Linked DNA regions of Macaca mulatta. The protein of the gene in region 1 interacts with the protein of each later gene in a biochemical or structural test. Links are inferred from orthologs where the notes say so. Each region holds a gene or a part of one and is shown on either strand. Other genes may lie near its edges.

Region 1 (12,341 bases):
TAAATTTTTCTTTGAGTTTTCTCTTAGTTTGGCAGTTGTTGTTTTTTATAATTTAACCTGTTTACATCATCAGGTCTTATAAAGTATAATGTACTTAGAGCTGGATTCATGGCTGTTTATTATGAAAGTTTAGATTTTTCAGTTTTTCATTAACGATCACATTTTGTTATATCAGACAGTCCTCTACAGCTCTGTACTACCCAACAACTAAATGGTTTAGATTGTTCAGCTCATGTTAATAGGATAGTTGTGCATCATAAAAAATGAGTTACGTGTGTGTGTGCGCATGCGTGTGTGCTGGCTTAAAGGTTGTTAATGGGGGGGGGGTTTGGGGTCCCCTTTAACATTGGTGAAAGCTATGGTATTCTCCCCAGAGATATGTCTTGTCAACCTCTCTAGTTCTCCTTGACCTGCATGTACAAACTTCTACCCTAGAAGCTCTCTGCCATTGATGTATTCTAATAGATTTGTAAGGCTATTAATTTGAAGCACCTCCTTGCCCACAATGATTCTTGCATCTCTGAGACATGCTCCCAGTCTATCGTGTGGGCTTCAGAAGCCATGACTCCCCAACTCTGCCTGCATCACCAGTTGAATGGAAAACTGACCCAAGCTGGACCAACACAATTCTCTCCAGAGACTTTTGATTTTACTTTTTTTGTAGAGACAGGGTCTCACTTTGTTGTCCAGGCTGATGTGGAACTTGATGTGAGGCCTCAAGCAGTGCTCCTGTCTCAGCCACCCAAAGTGCTGGGATTACAGGTGTGAGCCATTGCGCTGGCCCTCTTCATAGACTTTTGGACTTGGGAATAGAAAGGCAACCCTGTCTCTACTAAAAATACAAAAAATTAGCCAGGTGTGGTGGCACGCACATGTACTCCCAGCTACTCAGTAGGCTGAGGCAGGAGAATCACTTGAACCTGGGAGGTGGGGGTTGCAGTGAACTGAGATCACGCCACTGCACTCCAGCCTGCGCAACAGAGCGAGACTCCATCTCAAAAAACAGAAAAGAAAGAAAGCCAAGTTGACTGCTGAATGGGGAATCTGTAATGTGTACGCCTGGGGGCTGTGGGGCAGCCACATTCCACCACGTGGATCTGAGAAACAGAATGCTGATCTGTGGAAAGAGAGGCCACCTGTGTTCTGGGTCCATTTTCATCCTTCCTGAAGCCCAGCTGCCCAGGGTGGGGAAGAACACCCTGTGTCCATGGGATAGAGTCCTCTCCTCTTGCACTTGTGCTCAAAGAATCTTCAATAATACAAATGAGATATCCTTCCGTAGTTGATCTTTTATGTAATATGTGTCTTCATTGGGGAATACTGACTTCTCAAAGTCTCAAGATGGAAGATATACCACATATAAATTATTTTAGAGCAATTGAATTGTTTTTAGGATTTTCCAAAAATGCTGCTTGTTTCATTTTGTTATTTAAGTAACAGATTATCTAAGCCTCTGTACCCTGCACACTGTGGTTTACAAATGCCTTGCCCTGCCTATGAAGCAGGCACGAATGCTCCAGTGTAGACAATGTTATCAGTAGCAGACAGGACAAAGAAAGAAAGGTATGTAATAATCAGTCTGTTTGGGTGAATGTGGAAAGAAAAATACAAAGAAATATAACCAAAGCTTAAACAGCTATCACTGGCAAGTTAGAGATTTGGCTCCATAAAGAATGGCACAGGGACCACGGAAGGTGGCCCGAAAGATGTACCTATGAGAGAGCTCCCAGCTGACGGGATTCGTTGGCAGAATGAAGTGACAAATACAACCCAAGCCACGGAGATATTAGTTCAAGTAATTTACCCAGTCACAACTGCAGTACATACCTGTCATTGTTTTATTTTAATACAAGGGAGCAATTTCAATGTGTGTTTGTGGATACATGTATATGTTTATGTTGCACCTACTCCTTATTTTTATTTTTTATTTTGAGACAGGGTCTCACTCTGTCACCCAGGCTGGGGTACGGTGGTGTGATTATAGCTCACTGCGGCCTCGGTTTCCTAGGCTTAAGAAATCCTTCTGCCTCAGCCTCCTGAGTAGATGGGACTGCGGGCATGTGCCACCACACCCAGCTAATTTTTTTTTTCTTTTTAATAGAGATGAGGTCTCACTATGTTGCCCAGCATGATCTCGAACTCCTGGCCTCAAGTGATCCTCCCACCTCAGCCTCCCAAAGTACTGCTCAGCCTACACCTACTCTTTCTGAAAAGTCAGAGTAAGATTTCTACTGAGTGCTTTTTAAAAATCAAAATTATCAGCCGGGTGCAGTGGCTCACGCCTGTAATCCCAGCACTTTGGGAGGTCAAGGTGGGCGGATCACCTGAGGTCGGGTGTTTGAGACCAGCCTGGCCAATATGGTGAAACCCCATCTCTACTAAAAATACAAAGATTAGCAGGGCGTGGTGTCATGTGCCTATAATCCCAGCTACTCAGGAGGCTGAGGCAGGAGAATCGCTTGAACCTGGGAGGCAGAGGTTGCAGTGAGCTGAGATCATGCCACTGCACTCCAGCCTGGGCAACAAGAGCAAAACTCTGTCTCAAAAAAAAAATCAAAATTATCTTTAATCCCCACAGCTCTGACTCCAATAGCTTCTTATGTGATGGCTTTTTGCCTTATAAAACATTATATGACAAACTGATCAGTGGCTGAGTTAATGGGAATCGGATAGAATTCTATTTATGTGCCTTAAGCATAGTCATTCTGATTTGCAGAAAATAGCCATGTCCCAGGTTTATTAATTATGTGTAGCTGTAATTTGTGGGCTGAAAATATGTCTGAAAATCTGTGATTCCTAAACAGTGAGTATTAATAGAAATTTATTTCACTATCAGTGTTAACTTTCAACAACAGGAGGATAATCAAGGCAGATATTTAGAAATGAAATATACCATAAAATATTAAGTTATTTATATTTAAACAAGACAAATAATCCTTTATGCATTGAAAATTTAGGAAGTTTAAAAAGAAAAACAAAAGCAATCAAGTCCTGTCACTGGAGATAATTACTGCTATGATGATGATGTATTTTCTTCTCATCTTTTTTGTCTGCTCATACATGTGTATGTTTTCACAAGGTTGTGATCATATTACGATACAGCATTGCATCTCCACTATCTTCCTTCCTATGTATTCGCCCTTCGCCATGTTGAGGCAGGAGAATAGGGTCTGGAGGCAAGGAACCTAAGGCTGATTGATGCTGACTTCCTAGAACTAAATTGAAAGGAAAACCTCAACTTTCCATGCCTAAGTAACAAAAGGACCAGAGGCTACTCCCTTTGTAACACCTCTCCAACCCCCCCGCCCCCGCCTCCCTGCCTTTTCTGAGTGGCAGAAACGTCTGCAACCAATCAGACGTTTGCATGGGAGTGTAACTTTTGTAACTTCACTTCAGCCTCTGGTTGCAGAAAGCAAAAGCAACCAATCAGACTGATGGCAGGCCACTACTTTATTTGCATGGGATGAATACCAAGTGGCTAATGGGAAACCTCTAGCCGGTATTTGGACCCCAGAAGATTCTGTAACCAGGGCCCTTGAGCCACTGCTTAGCCAGGTCCCACCCTCATTTTCAATAAATCTGTGCTTTCATTGCTTCATTTTGTCCAATTCTTTGTTGAAAAAGCCAAGAATCTGGACAACTTGTAGTCCAGACCCTCTACTGGTTACAACATCACTAAATAGTTTTCAAAAGCAATTTTTTTTTTTTTTTTGAGATGGAGTCTCGCTGTGTCGCTCAGGCTGGAGTGCAGTGGCACGAGCTTGGCTCACTGCAAGCTCCGCCTCCCGGGTTCACGCCATTCTCCTGCCTCAGCCTCCCGAGTTGCTGGGACTACAGGTGCCCGCCACCACGCCTGGCTAATTTTTTGTATTTTTTATTAGAGACAGAGTTTCACCCTGCTAGCCAGGATGGTCTCGATTTCCTGACCTCGTGATCTGCCCGCCTCGGCCTCCCAAAGTGCTGGGATTACAGGCGTGAGCCACTGCGCCCGGCCCAAAAGCAAGATTTTTAAATAGCTGTATAATGTTGTAATGTGGCAGTACCATTATTATTTAGTCTTTCTCCTGTTATTAGAGTCAGCATTCATTCAGCAATTTAAGTACTGTTGGGTGTGCTAGCAGATAAAGGTTTATTGACTGTTGAAGATAGTCCTGTTCTCAGACATCACAGGTTGTAGGAGTAGGGGCTGAACACTGAACTTTACTATATAGCATGGTACGGCTGTCTTAGGGGTACAGGCTGTACAATCTTTGGGTCAGATGACATTTGATTAGCAAACGTTCTTTCTTGTCTTACATTAAAACTCTTTGCAGGGGCCTTAACAGGGTATAAAATGCTGTGTTTTCTCAGAAATCCAGCAAATCAGAAGGTGAACGATCATGATTATGATCTCTGAAGGAACAGAAATTCTCTGATATAAGGTTTTGTTAAGCACAATGTTCACATAAGACATTTGGGGGAGAACCCCTTAAAATAAGAGATCAGGGCCGGGCATGGTGGCTCATGCCTGTAATTGTAGCACTTTGGGAGGCTGACGCGGGTGCATCACCTGAGGTCAGAAGTTCAAGACCAGCCTGGCCAACATGGTGAAACCGCATCACTACTAAAAATACAAAACTTAGCCGTATGTGGTGGTGGGTGCCTTTAATCCCAGCTACTCGGGAGGCTGAGGCGGGAGAATTGCCTGAACCCAGGAGGCTGAGGTTGCAGTGAGCTGAGATCATACCACTGCACTCCAGCCTGGTGACAGAGCAAGACTCCATCTCAAAAAAAAAAGAAAAGAAAAAAAGAAAAAAGAAAAATGAGAGATTCATAATACCACAATGGATTCTTCACGCAGATTATGCTATCCCTTGTTTGAAGATTTTCCAACATATGGCAAATTCTCTTTGCTTTTGGTCTTCACTGAGATTGGAAAAACTGAATTTAGTGCCATTTGAAGGAATTATTATAATGCAGCGGTTCTCAAACTTGGCTGTCCATTATAATCACCTGGGGAGCTTTTATAAATCCCAGCTGTCCAGACCACACCATGGGCCAACTAAACTTTTCGGGTGTGACCCAAGTGTTTACCATGTGCAAAGAAGTTTGAAAATGACTAAAATAGGTAACTCTGAAGTCAAACTGCCTGGCTTCAAATTCCAGGCCAGCCACTTCCTAGCCATGTGACCCTAGGCAAGATATTTGATTTATGTGAACTCTATGAGAAAAAAAGATGATAAAAATAACATTTTCTTGTAGGATTGCTATGAGGTTTAAACAAGATAATCTATGTAAACTATTAAGTTGCTGCAAAAGTAATCACGATTTTTGCCATTAAAAGTGATGGCAAACACTGCGATTACTTTTGCACCAACCTAACAAAACAGGGCAGGCATATGTGAATTCTATAGGCTGGGCACAGTGGCTCACACCAGCACTTTGGGAGGCCAAGGGGTGGGGAGGATTGTGAACAATTTTCACAAGTTCAAGACCAGCCTAGACAAACACAGAGAGACCTCCTCTCTACAAAAAAATTTTAAAAATTAGCCTAGTGTGGTGGTTCATGCCTGTAGTCCCAGCTACTGAAGTGGGAGGATTGCTTGAGTCTGGGAGATGGAGGCTGCACTGAGCTGTGATCGTGCCCCTGCACTCCAGCCTGAGTGACAGAGTGAGACTTGGTCTTTAAAAAAAAAAAAAAAAAAAAAAGTTCTATGGTAATTATTATTAACTAACAGCTTTCTTATTTCATATTAATTACTCTGCAAGACACTTCCAGCGTGGTTCCCCCGTCTGACACTCATTCACCTAGTTGATTTTTTGTTGTTGTTCTATAACATTCTTTCATTCATGCACGAATTCATTTTACAAGTATGTATTCATTGACTTAACAACGAGTGTGAAAGAAGACACAAAAGAAATATACACATCTGCCTCACCTCCCTTGGAGTTTGTCTTCTCCCGTGTGCTCGTGTTTTCCAGTTCAGATCAAAAGCATCATGAGCTAGGGGACCATGTTTGATGCCTGGACAGCCCTAGCACCCAACGCTGAGGATTGGAGACACTGCTAGGTACCCGGGCTGGAAGACTGGGTTCTGGTTCTTGTTTTGGCACTTACAGGCTGGGTAACAGGGAGCAATCCTGTTGTCCTCAATAGGTGTGTTTCCTCACCTGAAAGTGTACAAAATCCATCCATGACTGATGTGACGATTACAGGTCTACACAATGCACATGTGGATTTGTCTTGCAAACGTCCACGACCAGGCCCTCAAGAAACAGTGCCGCGCATGCCCACCAAGGGGCAGCAGATCGCAGTGCAGAGGCCCGCGGCGCTTGACGTCAGGGCGCACGTCCCACCCCGTGACCGTGACTGTGACCGTGACCAAGAGCGTCTCTGGGACACGGCCGGGCGGCGCGGCGGGAGTGCACAGGACCCGCCATGGCGGCCGAAGCCTCGGAGAGCGAGCCGGCTCTGCAGGAGCTCATGCGCGAGGCGGAGATCAGCCTGCTGGAGTGCAAGGTGTGCTTTGAGAAGTTTGGCCACCGGCAGCAGCGGCGCCCGCGCAACCTGTCCTGCGGCCACGTGGTCTGCCTGGCCTGCGTGGCCGCCCTGGCGCACCCGCGCACGCTGGCCCTCGAGTGCCCATTCTGCAGGCGAGCCTGCCGGGGCTGCGACACCAGCGACTGCCTGCCGGTGCTGCACCTCATAGAGCTCCTGGGCTCAGCGCTTCGCCAGTCCCCGGCCGCCCACCGCGCCGTCCCCAGCGCCCCCGGAGCCCTCACCTGCCACCATACCTTTGGCGGCTGGGGGACCCTGGTCAACCCCACCGGACTGGCGCTTTGTCCCAAGACGGGGCGGGTCGTGGTGGTGCACGACGGCAGGAGGCGTGTCAAGATTTTTGACTCTGGGGGAGGATGCGCGCATCAGTTTGGAGAGAAGGGGGACGCTTCCCAAGACATTAGGTATCCTGTGGATGTCACCATCACCAACGACTGCCATGTGGTTGTCACTGACGCCGGCGATCGCTCCATCAAAGTGTTTGATTTTTTTGGCCAGATCAAGCTTGTCATTGGAGGCCAATTCTCCTTACCTTGGGGTGTGGAGACCACCCCTCAGAATGGGATTGTGGTAACTGACGCGGAGGCAGGGTCCCTGCACCTCCTGGACGTCGACTTCGCGGAAGGGCTCCTTCGGAGAACTGAAAAGTTGCAAGCTCATCTGTGCAGTCCCCGAGGGGTGGCAGTGTCTTGGCTCACGGGGGCCATTGCAGTCCTGGAGCACCCCCTGGCCCTGGGGACTGGGGTTTGCAGCACCAGGGTGAAAGTGTTTAGCTCAAGTATGCAACTTGTCGGCCAGGTGGATACCTTTGGGTTGAGCCTCTATTTTCCCTCCAAAATAACTGCCTCCGCTGTGACCTTTGATCACCAGGGAAATGTAATTGTTGCAGATACCTCTGGTCCCGCTATCTTTTGCTTAGGAAAACCTGAGGAGTTTCCAGTACTGAAGCCCATGGTCACTCATGGTCTTTCCCATCCTGTGGCTCTTACCTTCACCAAGGAGAATTCTCTTCTTGTGCTCGACACAGCATCTCATTCTATAAAAGTCTATAAAGTTGACTGGGGGTGATGGGCTGGGGTGGGGCCCTGGAATCAGAAGCACTAGTGCTGCCATTAATGAATTGTTTAACCCTGGATAAGTCACTTAAACTCATCTATGCAGGCAGGGATAATTAAAACTGTCTGGTAGACTTACAAAGCTTAGGACAATTATTAGAGATTAATCTACCATTTATTGAATGCATACTCTTTGTGCAAGGAAATTTGCAAATATTAGCTCATTTAATCCATACTATCCAGTGAGGTAATTTTTTTCCCCCCCGAGATAGAGTCAAGCTCTGTCACCCGGGCTGGAGTGCAGAAACATGATCACAGCTCACTACAGTTTCAACTTCCACCGCTCGGGTGATCCTTCCACCTCAGCCTCCCAAGTAGCTGGGACCACAGGCGTGCGTTACCACATCCAGCTAATTTTTGTATTTTGATAGAGATGGGGTTTCATCATGTTGCCCAGGCTGGTCTCAAACTCCTGAGCTCAAGCAATCCACCTTCCTCGGCCTCCCAAAGTGCTGGGATTACAGGCATAGCCACCTTGCCTAGCCATAATTTTTATTATTAATCTCATCGTGCAAGTGAGAAAACTGAAACCCAGAGAGCTTAAGTGACTTCCTCGAGGTCATAGTTACTTACTGCCATAGTCACAATTTGAATTCAATTCTGATTCCAACTAAGTTGTGCTTAAATAAGATAGCAGATGTGGGGAAAAGTAGGTGAATGAATAGTGTTGCTATGTGTACTGTCTCTACAAGTAGCTAATTATTTTAGCACAAAGATGTGCAAAGAAAGGAGACTTTATGGAGCGTTCAGGAGAAAAAGGATTTTGTGGTGGCCATCACTTTCATTCAATTTGTGACTGCTCTGATGGCACATTAGATGAAGTTACTGTTGATCCTGAATTACGTGAATAAGAAAAACAATTGAACTGCTTATTAAAAAGGTAAACATGTCTTGTAATGCCTATATCTTCTCCACTATACATACTCAGAAAATAACACTTGGTTGTTTGAGAAAGGCCTATATTTACATAAGTTCTAAACTATTGCAGAACACACTACATACTATTGTCAGAGGGCCAGATGACGCTCCTGTTACATGTTTATGTTACATATTTATGGGTTTGTTTGTTTGTTTGTTTGTTTGTTCTTAGACATGGTCTTGCTCTGTTGCCCAGGCTGCAGTGAAGTGGAGTAATCACTGCTCACTGCAGTCTCAACGCCCTGGGCTCAAGCGATCCTCTTGCCTCAGCAACCTGAATAACTGGGACTAGAGGTGTGTCACCATGCCCAGCTAATTTTTAATTTTTTCGTAGAGATGGGATCTTGCTTTGTAGCCCAAACTGGTTTCAAGCTCCTGGGCTCAAGCGAGCCTCCTATCTTGGCCTCCCAAAGCACTGGGACTATGAGCCACTGTGCCTCACCCATGTAAAGTAAAAGTGAGAGCCTAACTCCCATGCCAGTCCACAAAAACCCATTTTGTTGTCAATGCTCTCATCATATAGCACTAATAGTAAGATTTGGGGCACCCTAGACCACGATTTATAAATGCATTCTAAACAGAAGTTCTATGGACAAATCTCTTGTCCCCACATGCACATATCCCACCATTAAAGTCACCCCTAGGTTGGTGACTTCACGGGTGTTCTGAATACATACCAAGAAACATTCCAAGTGGAGATGTGAATTCAGACTTATTTGGTCATTTATGAATAGAGCAACTGAGGACAGATCTTAGACCATTTTCCTTAAGAACAATGACAGTTTAATGATTTTAGGATTAGTAGAGCCAATTCAAAAGATTTTTCTCTTTGGAATTATTAATGGCATCGTCTCTGATTATAAAGCTGGACATGTGTCCTTTTCAGACAGCAGTCATGATAAAGGTGTGGAATATGCAATGCAGGGAGGTATGTGAGCAAGGTAGCATTGCTGGTCATCATGTGGATTACCTGACTTCAAGAATCAGGTGCGCATCTGTGAGATGATGTGGGAGTGTATCAGACCTGTGATAACAAGCCATCTTAGTAACTGGTATCTTTCCTTGGTAGATTATCAGGCTTGGGACTGGAATGGGGCTGGATGCACAACATAAAAAGAACTGTATAAAGCAGCACTTCCCAGGAATGTCCTAGGACAGGAGCAGAGTTTCCTTGAGGAAGACACGAAGCTTGTTGTTCTTGATTATCAGGCACACACGTGCTGAGAGAATAGTTTCAGTGACTTGTAAGGCAGATGCAAAATTCATCTTCCAGACTGTGTTCTTTTTTTTTTTTTTTTTTTTTTTTTTTTTTGAGACAGAGTCTGGCTCTGTTGCTCAGGTTACAGTACAATGGTGCAATCTCTGCTCACTGCAACTTCTGCCTCCCAGGTTCAAGCTATTCTCCTGCCTCGGCCTCTGCAGCAGCTGGGATTACAGGCACCCACCATCATGCCCAGCTAATTTTTGTATTTTTAGTAGAGATGAAGTTTCACCATGTTGGCCAGACTGGTCTCAAACTCCTGACTTCAAGTGATCCACCTGCCTCGGCCTCCCAAAGTACTGGGATTACAGGCATGAGCCACCGCACCCAGCCAGACTGTGTTCTTTAAAGCAAGCTGGTTAAAAGGCTTGAGATATGTCATGCTGAACTCCAGGTTATTGAAGAAATTGGAGAATTCTGAGACAGGCAGGAAAAAATAACCCCAGCAGAAAGTAAAAGCTTCCAAGGTGATGAAGAAGGTTTGGAATGACTCGCAGAGGTTGAAACAAAAGAACGTGCCCAGGAGTAAAGGGAGAAGGAAAAGAAAATAGGCTCTTCCAGAATATCCCCCATGGCCTGCCTGGTGAGTCCATAAAAGCAAACACAGACACTTTGGCTCCTGTGTCAGCAGTTCTCATATCACCCTCCATCTATTCCAATTTTGCCCAATTCCCAATCCTTCGATTGTCTCCTGCTTTTGACCTTGTTCCACCCTCTGGACTTGCCGCCTGGAGTTGGTTTTCTCAATCTCTTTCCTTGGCATTTTGTAAAGACCTTGGTTCATATTCGTAAATCTCCCCTCTAGCAAATCTAGCTCTGGACCCCAGGACCCAGACCATCACGATTTTGCTAGTGCCTTATGCAGACCTTCCCCGGCCCCCAACTAAGTGGGGTGCAGACCCCACCTAAAGTGAATTATGAACCTTCTAAGGAACAAGCATTAACCTGTGCACCTCAGAAAAATGAGGAAGAACCACTGATGATAGCAAATCTAATAATCCTTACACATGCCATATTAAAAAGAAATATATACTGGTGTTAGTGTTCCACTATAGAGATATGCTATGGTGGTGTATCATGGCTAGTCAGGAGGTGAACTGTTTTCTTGGAGAATGTGTAGCAAATATGATAGGGCAGCCAGAGACTCACCACAACTACTGTATTGAGTAACCATGGTGTCTGTTGTGCCCACGGCCACGTCTAAGAAAAACTGCCCCATCAAGAGCCAGCCGTCAGCAGCCGGGTTTTCTATTACACGATCCCCTCGGACCATAGCTACTTGGATAGGGGTGCACACCTAACAGAAGGACAGCCAATCAACCAATGATACTCTACCCGATGTATTAATTAGACCAGGAAACTGACTATGAATTGGCGTGGGATAAACATATTTTCCTTACAAGGAGCACAGAGATCCAATTACATTCCGGTCCTTGATTTTTTTTTTTTAGATAGAGTTTCTCTCTTGTTGCCCAGGCTGGAGTACTATGGCGTGATCTCAGCTTACTGCAACCTCCGCCTCTCAAGTTCAAGTGATTCTCCTGCCTTAGCCTCCGAGTAGCTGGGATTACAGGCATGTGCCACCACGCCCAGCTAATTTTGCATTTTTAGTAGAGACAGGGTTTCTCCATGTTGGTCAGGCTGGTCTCGAACTCCCAACCTCAGGTAATCCATCCACGTCGGCCTCCCAAAATGCCGGGATTGGTCATGAGCCACCGCGTCTGGCCATCCTTGATATTTTGAATTCAGAAATATGGAGCATGTTATGCTGATGGCAGCCTGGGGAATGACAGAAATACACTCAGTTACAGGGGTGCAGAGAGTCCCTGTGGACAAGCCACATCATGAATAAGAAGCTATGAGGCAGAGGGAAGACAAAACTCACAGGAATCCAGGTAAGAATGGGAGGAAGAAATGCATCCGGAGAAGCAGTGGCTTGGAGCCATGTTACCTCCAGGGCACCAGCATGATGGTCCCTACTGCAAGATCTGTGGAGCTGCCCTGACTCCACTTTGCTTCTCTGCAAGGCCCAGCTGCCCTATGGTTTCTGTTCTTGGAGTCCCAACAACTCTCTCCTATCCCATGCGAATTCTTATACTAAATGCTCCACTGCTTCAGCGAACCTGCACAAATCTGTTTTTTTGCAACAGAAAGTTTGGCCGGGCATGGTGGCTCACGCCTGTAATCTCAGCACTTTGGGAGGCTGAGGCCAGTGGATCACCTGAGGTCAGGAGTTCGAGACCAGCCTGGCCTACATGGTGAAACTCCGTCTCTACTGAAAATAAAAAAAATTTAACGTGGTAGCAGGCACCTGTAATCCCAGCTACTCGGGAGGCTGAGGCAGGAGAATTGCTTGAACCTGGGAGGTGAAGGTTGCAGTGAGCCGAGATGGAGCCACTGCACTCCAGCCTGGGCGACAGAGTGAGACTTCATCTCAAAACAAAAAAGAGTTGTAATATTTTGATGATTGGTTTGGAGAAAATTGGTCTTAAATGTACGAATTTTGATG
Region 2 (11,726 bases), about 100 Mb from region 1:
CTAAATGCTCCAATTAAAAGACACAGACTGGCAAACTGGATAAAGAGTCAAGACCCATCAGTCTGCTGTATTCAGGAGACCCATCTCACATGCAGAGACATACATAGGCTCAAAATAAAGGGATGGAGGAAGATTTACCAAGCAAATGGAGAACAAAAAAAAGCAGGGGTTGCAATACTAGTCTCTGATAAAACAGACTTTAAACCATCAAAGATCAAAAGAGACAAAGAAGGCCATTACATAATGGTAAAGGGATCAATTCAACAGGAAGAGCTAACTATCCTAAATATATATGCACCCAATACAAGAGCACCCAGATTCATAAAGCAAGTCCTTAGAGACTTACAAAGAGACTTAGACTCCCATACAATAATAATGGGAGACTTCAACACTCCACTGTCAACATTAGACAGATCAACGAGACAGAAAGTTAACAAGGATATCCAGGAATTGAATTCAACTCTGCACCAAGCAGACCTAATAGACATCTATAGAACTCTCCACCCCAAATCAACAGAATATACATTCTTCTCAGCACCACATCGTACTTACTCCGAAATTGACCACGTAATTGGAAGTAAAGCACTCCTCAGCAAATGTACAAGAACAGAAATTATAACAAACTGTCTCTCAGACCACAGTGCAATCAAACTAGAACTCAGGACTAAGAAACTCAATCAAAACCGCTCAACTACATGGAAACTGAACAACCTGCTCCTGAATGACTACTGGGTACATAACGAAATGAAGGCAGAAATAAAGATGTTCTTTGAAACCAATGAGAACAAAGATACAACATACCAGAATCTCTGGGACACATTTAAAGCAGTGTGTAGAGGGAAATTTATAGCACTAAATGCCCACAAGAGAAAGCAGGAAAGATCTAAAATTGACACTCTAACATCACAATTAAAAGAACTAGAGAAACAAGAGCAAACACATTGAAAAGTTAGCAGAAGGCAAGAAATAACTAAGATCAGAGGAGAACTGAAGGAGATAGAGACACAAAAACACCCTCCAAAAAATCAATGAATCCAGGAGCTGGTTTTTTGAAAAGATCCACAAAATTGATAGACCACTAGCAAGACTAATAAAGAAGAAAAGAGAGAAGAATCAAATAGATGCAATAAAAAATGATAAAGGAGATATCACCACAGACCCCACAGAAATACAAACTACCATCAGACAATACTATAAACACCTCTATGCAAATAAACTAGAAAATCTAGAAGAAATGGATAATTTCCTGGACACTTACACTCTCCCAAGACTAAACCAGGAAGAAGTTGAATCCCTGAATAGACCAATAGCAGGCTCGGAAATTGAGGCAATAATTAATAGCCTACCAACCAAAAAAAGTCCAGGACCAGATAGATTTACCGCTGAATTCTACCAGAGGTACAAGGAGGAGCTGGTACCATTCCTTCTGAAACTCTTCCAATCAATGGAAAAAGAGGGAATCCTCCCTAACTCATTTTATGAGGCCAACATCATCCTGATACCAAAGCCTGGCAGAGACACAACAAAAAAAAGAGAATTTTAGACCAATATCCCTGATAAACATCGATGCAAAAATCCTCAATAAAATATTGGCAAACTGAATCCAGCAGCACATCAAAAGGCTTATCCACCATGGTCAAGTGGGCTTCATCCCTGGGATGCAACGTTGGTTCAACATACGCAAATCAATAAACGTAATCCAGCATATAAACAGAACTCAAGACGAAAACCACATGATTATCTCAATAATAGATGCAGAAAAGGCCTTTGACAAAATTCAACAGCCCTTCATGCTAAAGACTCTCAATAAATTCAGTATTGATGGAACGTATCTCAAAATAATAAGAGCTATTTATGACAAAACCACAGCCAATATCATACTGAATGGGCAAAAACTGGAAGCATTCCCTCTGAAAACTGGCACAAGACAGGGATGCCCTCTCTCACCACTCCTATTCAACATAGTGCTGGAAGTTCTGGCTAGGGCAATCAGGCAAGAGAAAGAAATCAAGGGTATTCAGTTAGGAAAAGAAGAAGTCAAATTATCCCTGTTTGCAGATGACATGATTGTATATTTAGAAAACCCCATCATCTCAGCCCAAAATCTCCTTAAGCTGATAAGCAACTTCAGCAAAGTTTCAGGATACAAAATTAATGTGCAAAAATCACAAGCATTCTTATACACCAGTAACAGACAAACAGAGAGCCAAATCATGAATGAACTTCCATTCACAATTGCTTCAAAGAGAATAAAATACCTAGGAATCCAACTTACAAGGGATGTAAAGGACCTCTTCAAGGAGAACTACAAATCACTGCTCAGTGAAATAAAAGAGGATACAAACAAATGGAAGAACATACCATGCTCATGGATAGGAAGAATCAATATTGTGAAAATGGCCATACTGCCCAAGGTACGTTATAGATTCAATGCCATCCCCATCAAGCTACCAATGAGTTTCTTCACAGAATTGGAAAAAACTGCTTTAAAGTTCATATGGAACCAAAAAAGAGCCCGCATCTCCAAGACAATCCTAAGTCAAAAGAACAAAGCTGGAGGCATCACGCTACCTGATTTCAAATTATACTACAAGGCTACAGTAACCAAAACAGCATGGTACTGGTACCAAAACAGAGATATAGACCAATGGAACAGAACAGAGCCCTCAGAAATAATACCACACATCTACAGCCATCTGATCTTTGACAATCCTGACAAAAACAAGAAATGGTGAAAGGATTCCCTATTTAATAAATGGTGCTGGGAAAATTGGCTAGCCATAAGTGGAAAGCTGAAATTGGATCCATTCCTTACTCCTTATACGAAAATTAATTCAAGATGGATTAGAGACTTAAACGTTAGACCTAATACCATAAGAACCCTAGAAGAAAACCTAGGTAACACCATTCAGGACATAGGCATGGGTAAGGACTTCATGTTTAAAACACCAAAAGCAATGACAACAACAGCCAAAATTGACAAATGGGATCTAATTAAACTAAAGAGCTTCTGCATGGCAAAAGAAACTACCATCAGAGTGAACAGGCAACCTACAGAATAGGAGAAAATTTTTGCAATCTACTCATCTGACAAAGGGCTAATATCCAGAACCTACAAAGAACTCACACAAATTTACAAGAAAAAAACAAACAACTCCATCAAAAAGTGGGCAAAGGATATGAACAGATATTTCTCAAAAGAAGACATTCATACAGCCAACAGACACATGAAAAAATGCTCACCATCACTGGCCATCAGAGAAATGCAAATCAAAACCACAATGAGATACCATCTCACACCAGTTAGAATGGCAATCATTAAAAAGTCAGGAAACAACAGGTGCTGGAGAGGATGTGGAGAAATAAGAACACTTTTACACTGTTGGTGGGATTGTAAACTAGTTCAACCATTGTGGAAAACAGTATGTCAATTCCTCAAGGTTCTAGAACTAGAAATACCATATGACCCAGCCATCCATTACTGGGTATATACCCAAAGGATTATAAATCATGCTGCTATAAAGACACATGCACACGTATGTTTATTACGGCACTATTCACAATAGCAAAGACTTGGAATCAACCCAAATGTCCATCAGTGACAGACTGGATTAAGAAAATGTGGCACATATACATCATGGAATACTATGCAGCCATAAAAAGGGATGAGTTTGTGTCCTTTGTAGGGACATGGATGCAGCTGGAAACCATCATTCTCAGCAAACTATCGCAAGAACAGAAAACCAAATACCGCATGTTCTCACTCATGGGTGGGAATTGAACAATGAGATCACTTGGACACAGGAAGGGGACCATCACACACTGGGGCCTATTATGGGGAGTGGGGAGGGGGGAGGGATGGCATTGGGAGTTATACCTGATGTAAATGACGAGTTGATGGGTGCTGATGAGTTGATGGGTGCAGCACACCAACTCGGCACAAGTATAGATATGTAACAAACCTGCACATTGTGCACATGTACCCTAGAACTTAAAGTATAATAATAATAAAAAAGAGAAGACATACAAATGGCCAAGATATATGAAAAAAAATGTTCAATATCACTAATTAGCAGGGAAATGCAAATCAAGACTGCAAGAAGATAACACCTCACTCTAATCAGAATGGCTACAATTAAAAAATCATAAAACACCAAGTGTTGACGAGGATATAGAGACAAGAGAACCTTGACAAACTGCTGGTAGTAATATAAATTAGCACAACCATTATGGAAAACCGTATGGAGGTGGACTGATCATAATATTAAAAGTTGTTTATATTGTTACATCATTCAGCCCCTGTAACAACCTTATCCCCATTTTATGTGTTCAGAGTTGAGGCTCAGAAAGAATGACTTATGTTAAGGAGTACAATAAACAAGTTGAAAAGAAAAAAAAAAATAGAGAAGAGAACTTAAAAATAACTTTCATTAGTATTCTAAGATTCATGAATATACTCATTCATAAACAAGGACAAACTAATATGCAAAAAGTGAATAACTGAATAAGTAAAAGTCCATGAAAATTAAGAATACAATTACCAAAATTAAGAAAAAAAATTGATATTGAATTGGAAATTAAGAAGCCTCTCAAAATGTAAAGCAATAAAAAAGTTGACAAACATAAAATGTAAATCCAAGAGGTCCAACATCCATGTAAGGAGTGTCTCTGATGACAAAGAACAAAGGCAATCAAGGAGAAGAAATAATTATACAGTGGAAATAAAAACTCCAGAGCCCAAGACATGACTCTTCAGAAAAAAGGGTTCATTCAGGAAATGTGGTTCAGGATCAATTTAAAAGAACCCATATACACATCCTCATTAAATGTCAGACCATCTCAAGAGGTGTTCCTTCTCATTCTTTTCTCTGGATCTTCTGCTTATCCTTGACTTCTAAATTGTGTGCACCAGGGCTCAATATTTTTGCTTCTTCTCTTTGTCTCTTCTATACTTCACTCATTTACTATTGTCTCATCTAGACTCATCATTTTGAATGCTATCTATGTCTTGATAACTGCCAATTCTATATCTTTATTTCCAAGCTCTCCCTAAAATTCCTGAAATCAAATCAATTTGCTTCCTGTAATCTAACAGACATTTCAAGAAATGACTAAAGTACAACTTTCACCTCAATTCCTACTTCAAATTGCTCATCTCCTAGTCTTCCCCATCTCAGTAAGCAGCAACACCATTAATTCAGTAGCTCAGGCCATAAAGCCACGAGACATGCTTAACTCTTCTTTTCCTCATTCTATGCATACAACCCACCAGCAAAGCCAACATCTACCAGAAGTTTGAAAGAAAGATGTGTTCAAGAGGAATATTAATTGCCTAAAACTATTGTGAAATTGCATTTTCTCTCTCTTTTACCCCTCACAACTGTGTTTTATTAATTGTATCTTTCATTCAAAACAACACGTTCTTTAAGAACATGAGAATGCATCTCCTTGTGTATGGCACAAATACTGTAAGTTCTACAGTAAATAACACATAATATTTTAAATGTTGGCAATTGCTTTTAAATTTTAAATAATAAAAGTGTGAAAGAAATGTATATTTACTAAGTTTAATGTAAATTCGATAAGCCTTGAAATTATAAAAGTAATTTAAAGGCAGGAGTCAGTAGGTGGAAATAGATGTGGAAAAAAAATACAAGAAGAAAAAAAATCTCCGCTCTTACAATGTAGGAAACTAGGAGACATTGTGAAAAACTGATGGGTCAAGACATAGAATTTGTATGATGGTAAGTAACAATGGAACTTTTCAAAAAAATGCCTGGTAGGGACTGGAGTGGGGAGAGAGGACAAGTACGAGAGACGTCAATTTCCTATGTGTAACAGAGGGGAATCAATAGCTATTGTTAAACTGGTACATTAACAAGCAACACATATGCATATTGTTTAAGATTTAGATTTAATCTCAAGAAAAACTAACCAGAAAGTGATTAAAAATAATCATTTCTGATGAGTGGGAAAGGAGAAAAGGATAATGAGCCTTACGTTTTATTTAGCAACCTCCTGGTTTAGGAATTAAATGAACAAATAAATCAAAATATTAACAAATAATGAAGCAGATAATCACATTCAATCTAGTTCTGTGTATTTTCACACATATTTATTTAAATAAGATGTTATAAGGAAATACCAATTTTTGTTACACTGGTAGTCAGTAGCATAAAGGACACAAATACTAATTTAGACTATGTTAGTGAAGTTTTTATTTTTAATCCACTACATAAATACAGAGATTGGTTAGCTACTATCTGGTCAAAATATATTGATGCTAGGGTATGCATTTATTAAAGAATTCTATTTTTAAAATCCTCCACATCTAGACCCAGAAAAGCTTACACACTGATTCACTGTAATTATCTCCTGAAAGTATTACAGGCCTATAGACCCCTCCAAAGTGAGACACTGCAGTTTTGAACACAGTAAATATTTCCATTGTTGCTAATGCTACCTCTTGTACCACTTCTATGCTTATAAATATAGCACTATTTTTACCTTGAATAATGCATGGCTTGGTGGCCTGCAATATTAAAATAGAAGTCTGTTGTGTGCTTCATTTCATTGGTGTGCCCAGTGGCCTCAATCCAGTGTCCTATTGGGAGACAATACACACCATCCACCAAGTTGTTTTCATTGTAAGTACAGCAACGGTCATGATGAGGTCCATTGCCTAGAACAAGAAGAAATGATAAACAGAGCAATTAAATCAGTGTTTGGTTTAAACATCCTCAAAGCGGCTGATACAAAATTAATAGCAAAAAATAAATAAATAAATAAACAAAGCTACTTAATCTACACATTTCAGTATAAACAAAAAAGACTAGAGTGAAAAACAGAACAGTAGGAGTTTGTAAAGAGCTACTTATGAAAATCAGAGTGTTTTACTCCCTTTGAGTACATGGGTTATAAAAAGCATGTTAACTCAGAGTTTCATGGTACCTCTCAGTGCTCTAAGAGGCCATTATGAATCACTTTGCAGCCTGAGAAGCTCCTAAAAAAAGTTTTTAAAGCTATTAATGCCCCTGTATTATACAATTCTATCTTTCTGGTATGCAAATTTATGAATAAAATCAGGAATAAAGTGTTTTAGTATCAGCTCAACCAAAAAATGTGTAATTACAAATAAATGCATCAATAAATAATAAATGATCACATCAAATCTACTTTACAGGTAAAACAGTTATTATCATTATTTTCAAATGAGGAAAATAAGTCTCACAGAGATTAACTAGCTTGCCCAAGGTCATAGAACTAGTAGTGCGGCGCTAGCAGCAACCTGCCTCTCCTAGTCCCCCACCTTTTCGGCATCTGATGCCTTTGTGATGCTCCCTGCTGATGTCATATGCACAAAGACACACCGTCTTCCTTAAAGGGCCATGGATCAAAGGAAGCAGAGACACATCTCTAAAAATATTATTTGCCTATTTCACGATTCTGCGCAGTATCAAGTACACTAGTTGCTATGGTATGAATGTTTTTGTTCCCCCAAAATTTATATGTTGAAATCCTAACACCCAAGGTGTTGGTATTAGGAGCTGGGGCCCTTAGAGGATGATTAGGTCATAAAGAAGAACCCTCACCAATGTGATTAGCTCCCTTATAAAAGAGGGATGAAAGAAACCCCTCGCTCCCTTCCACCATGTGAGAAAACAGCATGTCGCCGCCGTCTATGAACCAGAAAGTGAGCCCTCACCAATCACTGAATCTGGTATGCCTCAATTTTAGACCCCCCAGCCTCCAGAACTGTGAGCAATAAATTTCTATCGTTTATAAGCTAACCAACATACAGTGTTTTGTTTACAGCAGCCCAAATGGTCTTAGATACTAGTAAACCTTGATTTCTCTAAAAATTATAATTCATACATTATTTTTATTACCTTTTTATTATCCCATTTCAAATCATGCCTTTCTTTATACTACCTAATTATAATATACTGTAAGAAAGACATGTAAGCAAACTAAATGTATGAGTGATTTACAGAAATAAATCACATCTGTTATGAATATAAAAATGTGATTCATTTGTTCTTTTCTCCTTGCTCTGTCTTACAAAATATTTAACCTAGATCTGCTTGTGGCATAAGCTCTCAAAAAAATCCTTAAATTATTTGGTGTTTCTTTGAGATATAACTCCTTCCATCAGACAGAAGGTACAGGATGACTCCCTTAATAAACCATTACTGATCTTCCTAGATCCGTCACCTCTTTTTTCTCTTAATGGATGTTTTTTCTCGATGACTACAAGGCACTGCACCACATCTCTATTAACCTTCATTTTTAATAGATAAAATCCAAACTATACTAGCAACTTCACTTCTAGAAACATATCCAACAGAAATATTAATAAGAAAAAAGAATCTCTGATGCATACAGAGATACATGTGTATAGTAATACTATTTTAATAGAAAATACTGTAAACCATAAGTTTTTTTCATTCTTCTACAAATATTTATTGAGGCAGATACTGTCCTAGGTCATGTTAAGAACTCAGATATTTATCATAAGAGCAATTAAAAATTTGAAATATTCTAAGCAGACATGTAACATAACCAGATTTTATTTTGAGGATACCTCTCTGGCTACAGAGTAAAAAAATAATTTAAGAACAATCAGACAGAAGCAGAGAGTCCATTTTAAAAACTACTATATTGGCCTAGGTGGTTTATGATGAAGCTTGGTCACAGACATTGAAAGGATTATGCAGATTCAGGAGGGAAAAGCCACAGGACTTGATTAATTGGAAAAGGAAGGTGAAAATGAAAGGGGATCAATAATGACTCCTAAGCTTCTAGTGAAAATAATTCAATATACAGTGGTACTATTCACTGAGATGCAAAATCTGAAAGAGGCTGTAAGGAAAGATCATCTATCCAGTTTTGGCAACGTTGGGTTGGAAGTACTCTTTAGATATCCAAAAGGAGTCGTCAAACAGAGAGCTGGAGTTATTGATTTGATATTAAGACCAGAAATCTGAACTAGAAACATAAATATATGAGTAATTTGAGTGTAAATGGTAATTGAAATAGGAACATAGATGAGTCACAAAGCAAAACAATATGAATTGAGGAAAAACGTTCTAGAACAAAGTCTGAAAGTCTTTCCATGTTTAACAGCCAGAGATAGAAGGATAAACTTACAAAAGATGAATAGAGAGAGAAGCTGAAAAGGAAAAGCAAGAGTGGCTAAGTGAAGCGGCAGAGCATGACTGAAAGTGTAAACACAGACTACAAACTGGATGTGGTTACTTCTAGGAAATGGAATTGGATGGAGGGAAACTGTCATAGTCAACTGTTTTGAATTGATTGGATTACCTACAAGGAGTGGGTGTTTTTTTTAGTTTAATGAAAGAATATCTATGGCTCCCATTGGTCAGTACAATTGACTTACAACACTGACTTACAACACTGACTTACACTTACAACACTGACTTACACTTACAACACTGACTTACAACAACCTTTAAAAATATAATTGTTGAAGAGATCAAATATTCATAAATTATGACGGTCAAGAAGAATTATTTATGTATCATCATCTTCATAAGAATTCTTCATTCCTACAATGATTTCTTTAATTGCTCATTTTTATACCTTTATGTTTTAGGCAACATTTAAAAAAATCTTTCATAGATAGTAACCTGAGTTATTCAAAATATGTTCTAATAGTTAAAATGTATTTTAGAGGATGGGTTTTTGTCTTTTTAATTTCACCTAATGAAATGGCAAAAATGAATAGTAAAATAATTTTGGTTTTGGAGATTTCTGCATGTAGAACTATGGAATAAATGTATTTTTCCCTAGTCCTCCCACTAAGTATAATTTAAAACCCTGAAAATTATAAATAAACAAACATAAGATAACTTTGAAAGGCAAAGAGAAGACAGACCATCCAGAGACACTGAGACCTAAGGAAAGACCTAAGTATTGAGTTCCCTGCATTTTCTTTTTGCCTTATATATCCCAGACTTAGATCTGAAGAAGCCAGCAACCTGGTAACACAAGGACAGCAAAAGGAAAACATGACAAAAGTCCACTCTCTCTAGCCAAATGAAAAGACAAGCCTAGCCAGACAGAAATCTGTTTGATAATAACTACACTACTCCAGTTAAACTCCAGTTAAACTCCAGTTAAACTCCAGTTAAACTCCAGTTAAATTAAACACCATTACACCAGTCATGGTGTCAGAAAAGAATGAGTAGGGGTCTGAAACTTTCAGCATCACCCTTGGCAATGCAGTGGAGTCCAAGTGGAAAGGTGGACTTCCACCTCCATTTGGCAGTAACGAGGTGCCCCTCCTTCCCACTGAGATCGTGTCACAGGTGACCTAGTGGAAAGTCAAGATTTTTACCTCCTTCCCGCCCCACCATCAGTGGATGCCATATGGGAAGCAGTAACAAGGCATTCCTCCCTTTCTCAGGCAGAGAGCTATCAATGGAGGCCTAGTGGAGAGCTAGAACTACCACCTCGCTCAGGGAGGAGTCTGTTTGGTTTGGTTATGAATGGAAACAGTGTGAGGAACTGGGTAATAAGGTGGGACCTCTATTCTTCTGCTGGAGTGGTGTCAGAAGAATTCAGTTAAAATCAAAGGTTTACATAAGAGCTAATCTCATTATATAATACCCCAAATGTCCAGGTTTCAATAGAATATCACCCATTACATCAATAACCACTAAGATTTCAAACTAAATGGAAAAAAAAGATGCCTGATAAAGGCCAACACCAACAGAACAATAATGTTAGAATTAGGTGATAAATATTTTAAAGCCTCAGTAACCCATTAGAACACATTCAAACAAATGAAGAATCAGAACATCTCAGCAATGGAATGGAAGATGAAAAGAGGAACTAAATAGTAGTTTTAGAACTGAAAAACACAATATTTGACATTTTAAAAACTCAGTAGATGGGTTTAAGAGCAATATGGAAGGGACACTGGAAAGAATTTCACAAATTCAAGATAAAATCATGGAAATTACCCAACCTAAACAGCAAACAACAGAGAAAGTAGGTTGAATTAAAAACAAAAAAAAACAAAAAAACAAAAAAACAAAAAACCAGACCCTTGGGGACATGTGGTACTATTAACAAAATATCTAAATTTATGTAATTGGAGTCTAGAAGAAGAGGGAAAAGATAGTAAGGCTTAAAAGTACTTGAGAAAACAATGCCTGAAAACTTTTCTCATTTGGCAAGAGGCAAAACCTACAAATTCAAGAAGGTGAGCAAAGTCCAAACAACATAAACCCAAAGAAATCAATACTGAGACATGACATATTTAAAATTCTGAAAACTAAAGACAGAGGAAGTCATAAAAGTAGCCAGAGAAAAACAGCAATGTAAAGGAAAAAATATTCTAATATGAGCAGATTTCTCATCAGAAGTCACCAAAGGAAGTGCATTTTTCAAGTGCTGTAAAAAAGAACAACTGTCAACCAAGAATCTTACTTTGTGACTATTTCCTTCAGGAAAAAAAGGGAAAATCAAAATATGCTCAATGAAGGAAAACTAAGAAAATTTTGCCAGCTGAATTATCTTAAAAATGACTAACAGAGGTCTCCACTCTTCTACGTTCTTCACCTCGGGAGCCCTTGGTGACTCTGTGACGGCCTCTGTTGCCCTGTGATCTGCAGGTCGGGAGAGACGCACAGCTAAGATGCCAGGACATCCTGAAAGCTGGGAAAGGGTCTTGCCATCTCTAAGCTGGACCTGGTGAC

The links.
Region 2: the proteins of NHLRC1 (region 1) and EPM2A form a complex in vitro, tested with the Homo sapiens proteins (3 studies listed by BioGRID, with this or other methods). The link is inferred for Macaca mulatta from reciprocal best matches to the Homo sapiens genes NHLRC1 and EPM2A.

The regions. Positions count from the first base shown.
Region 1 is NC_133409.1:164,951,632-164,963,972, forward strand, and holds NHLRC1 (E3 ubiquitin-protein ligase NHLRC1), read left to right. Parts: upstream 1-5,605; 5' UTR 5,606-6,418; coding exon 6,419-7,606; 3' UTR 7,607-8,543; downstream 8,544-12,341. UniProt on the Homo sapiens protein: E3 ubiquitin-protein ligase. Together with the phosphatase EPM2A/laforin, appears to be involved in the clearance of toxic polyglucosan and protein aggregates via multiple pathways.
Region 2 is NC_133409.1:64,006,097-64,017,822, forward strand, and holds part of EPM2A (laforin), read right to left. Parts: intron 6,683-11,726; coding exon 6,508-6,682; intron 1-6,507. UniProt on the Homo sapiens protein: Plays an important role in preventing glycogen hyperphosphorylation and the formation of insoluble aggregates, via its activity as glycogen phosphatase, and by promoting the ubiquitination of proteins involved in glycogen metabolism via its interaction with the E3 ubiquitin ligase NHLRC1/malin.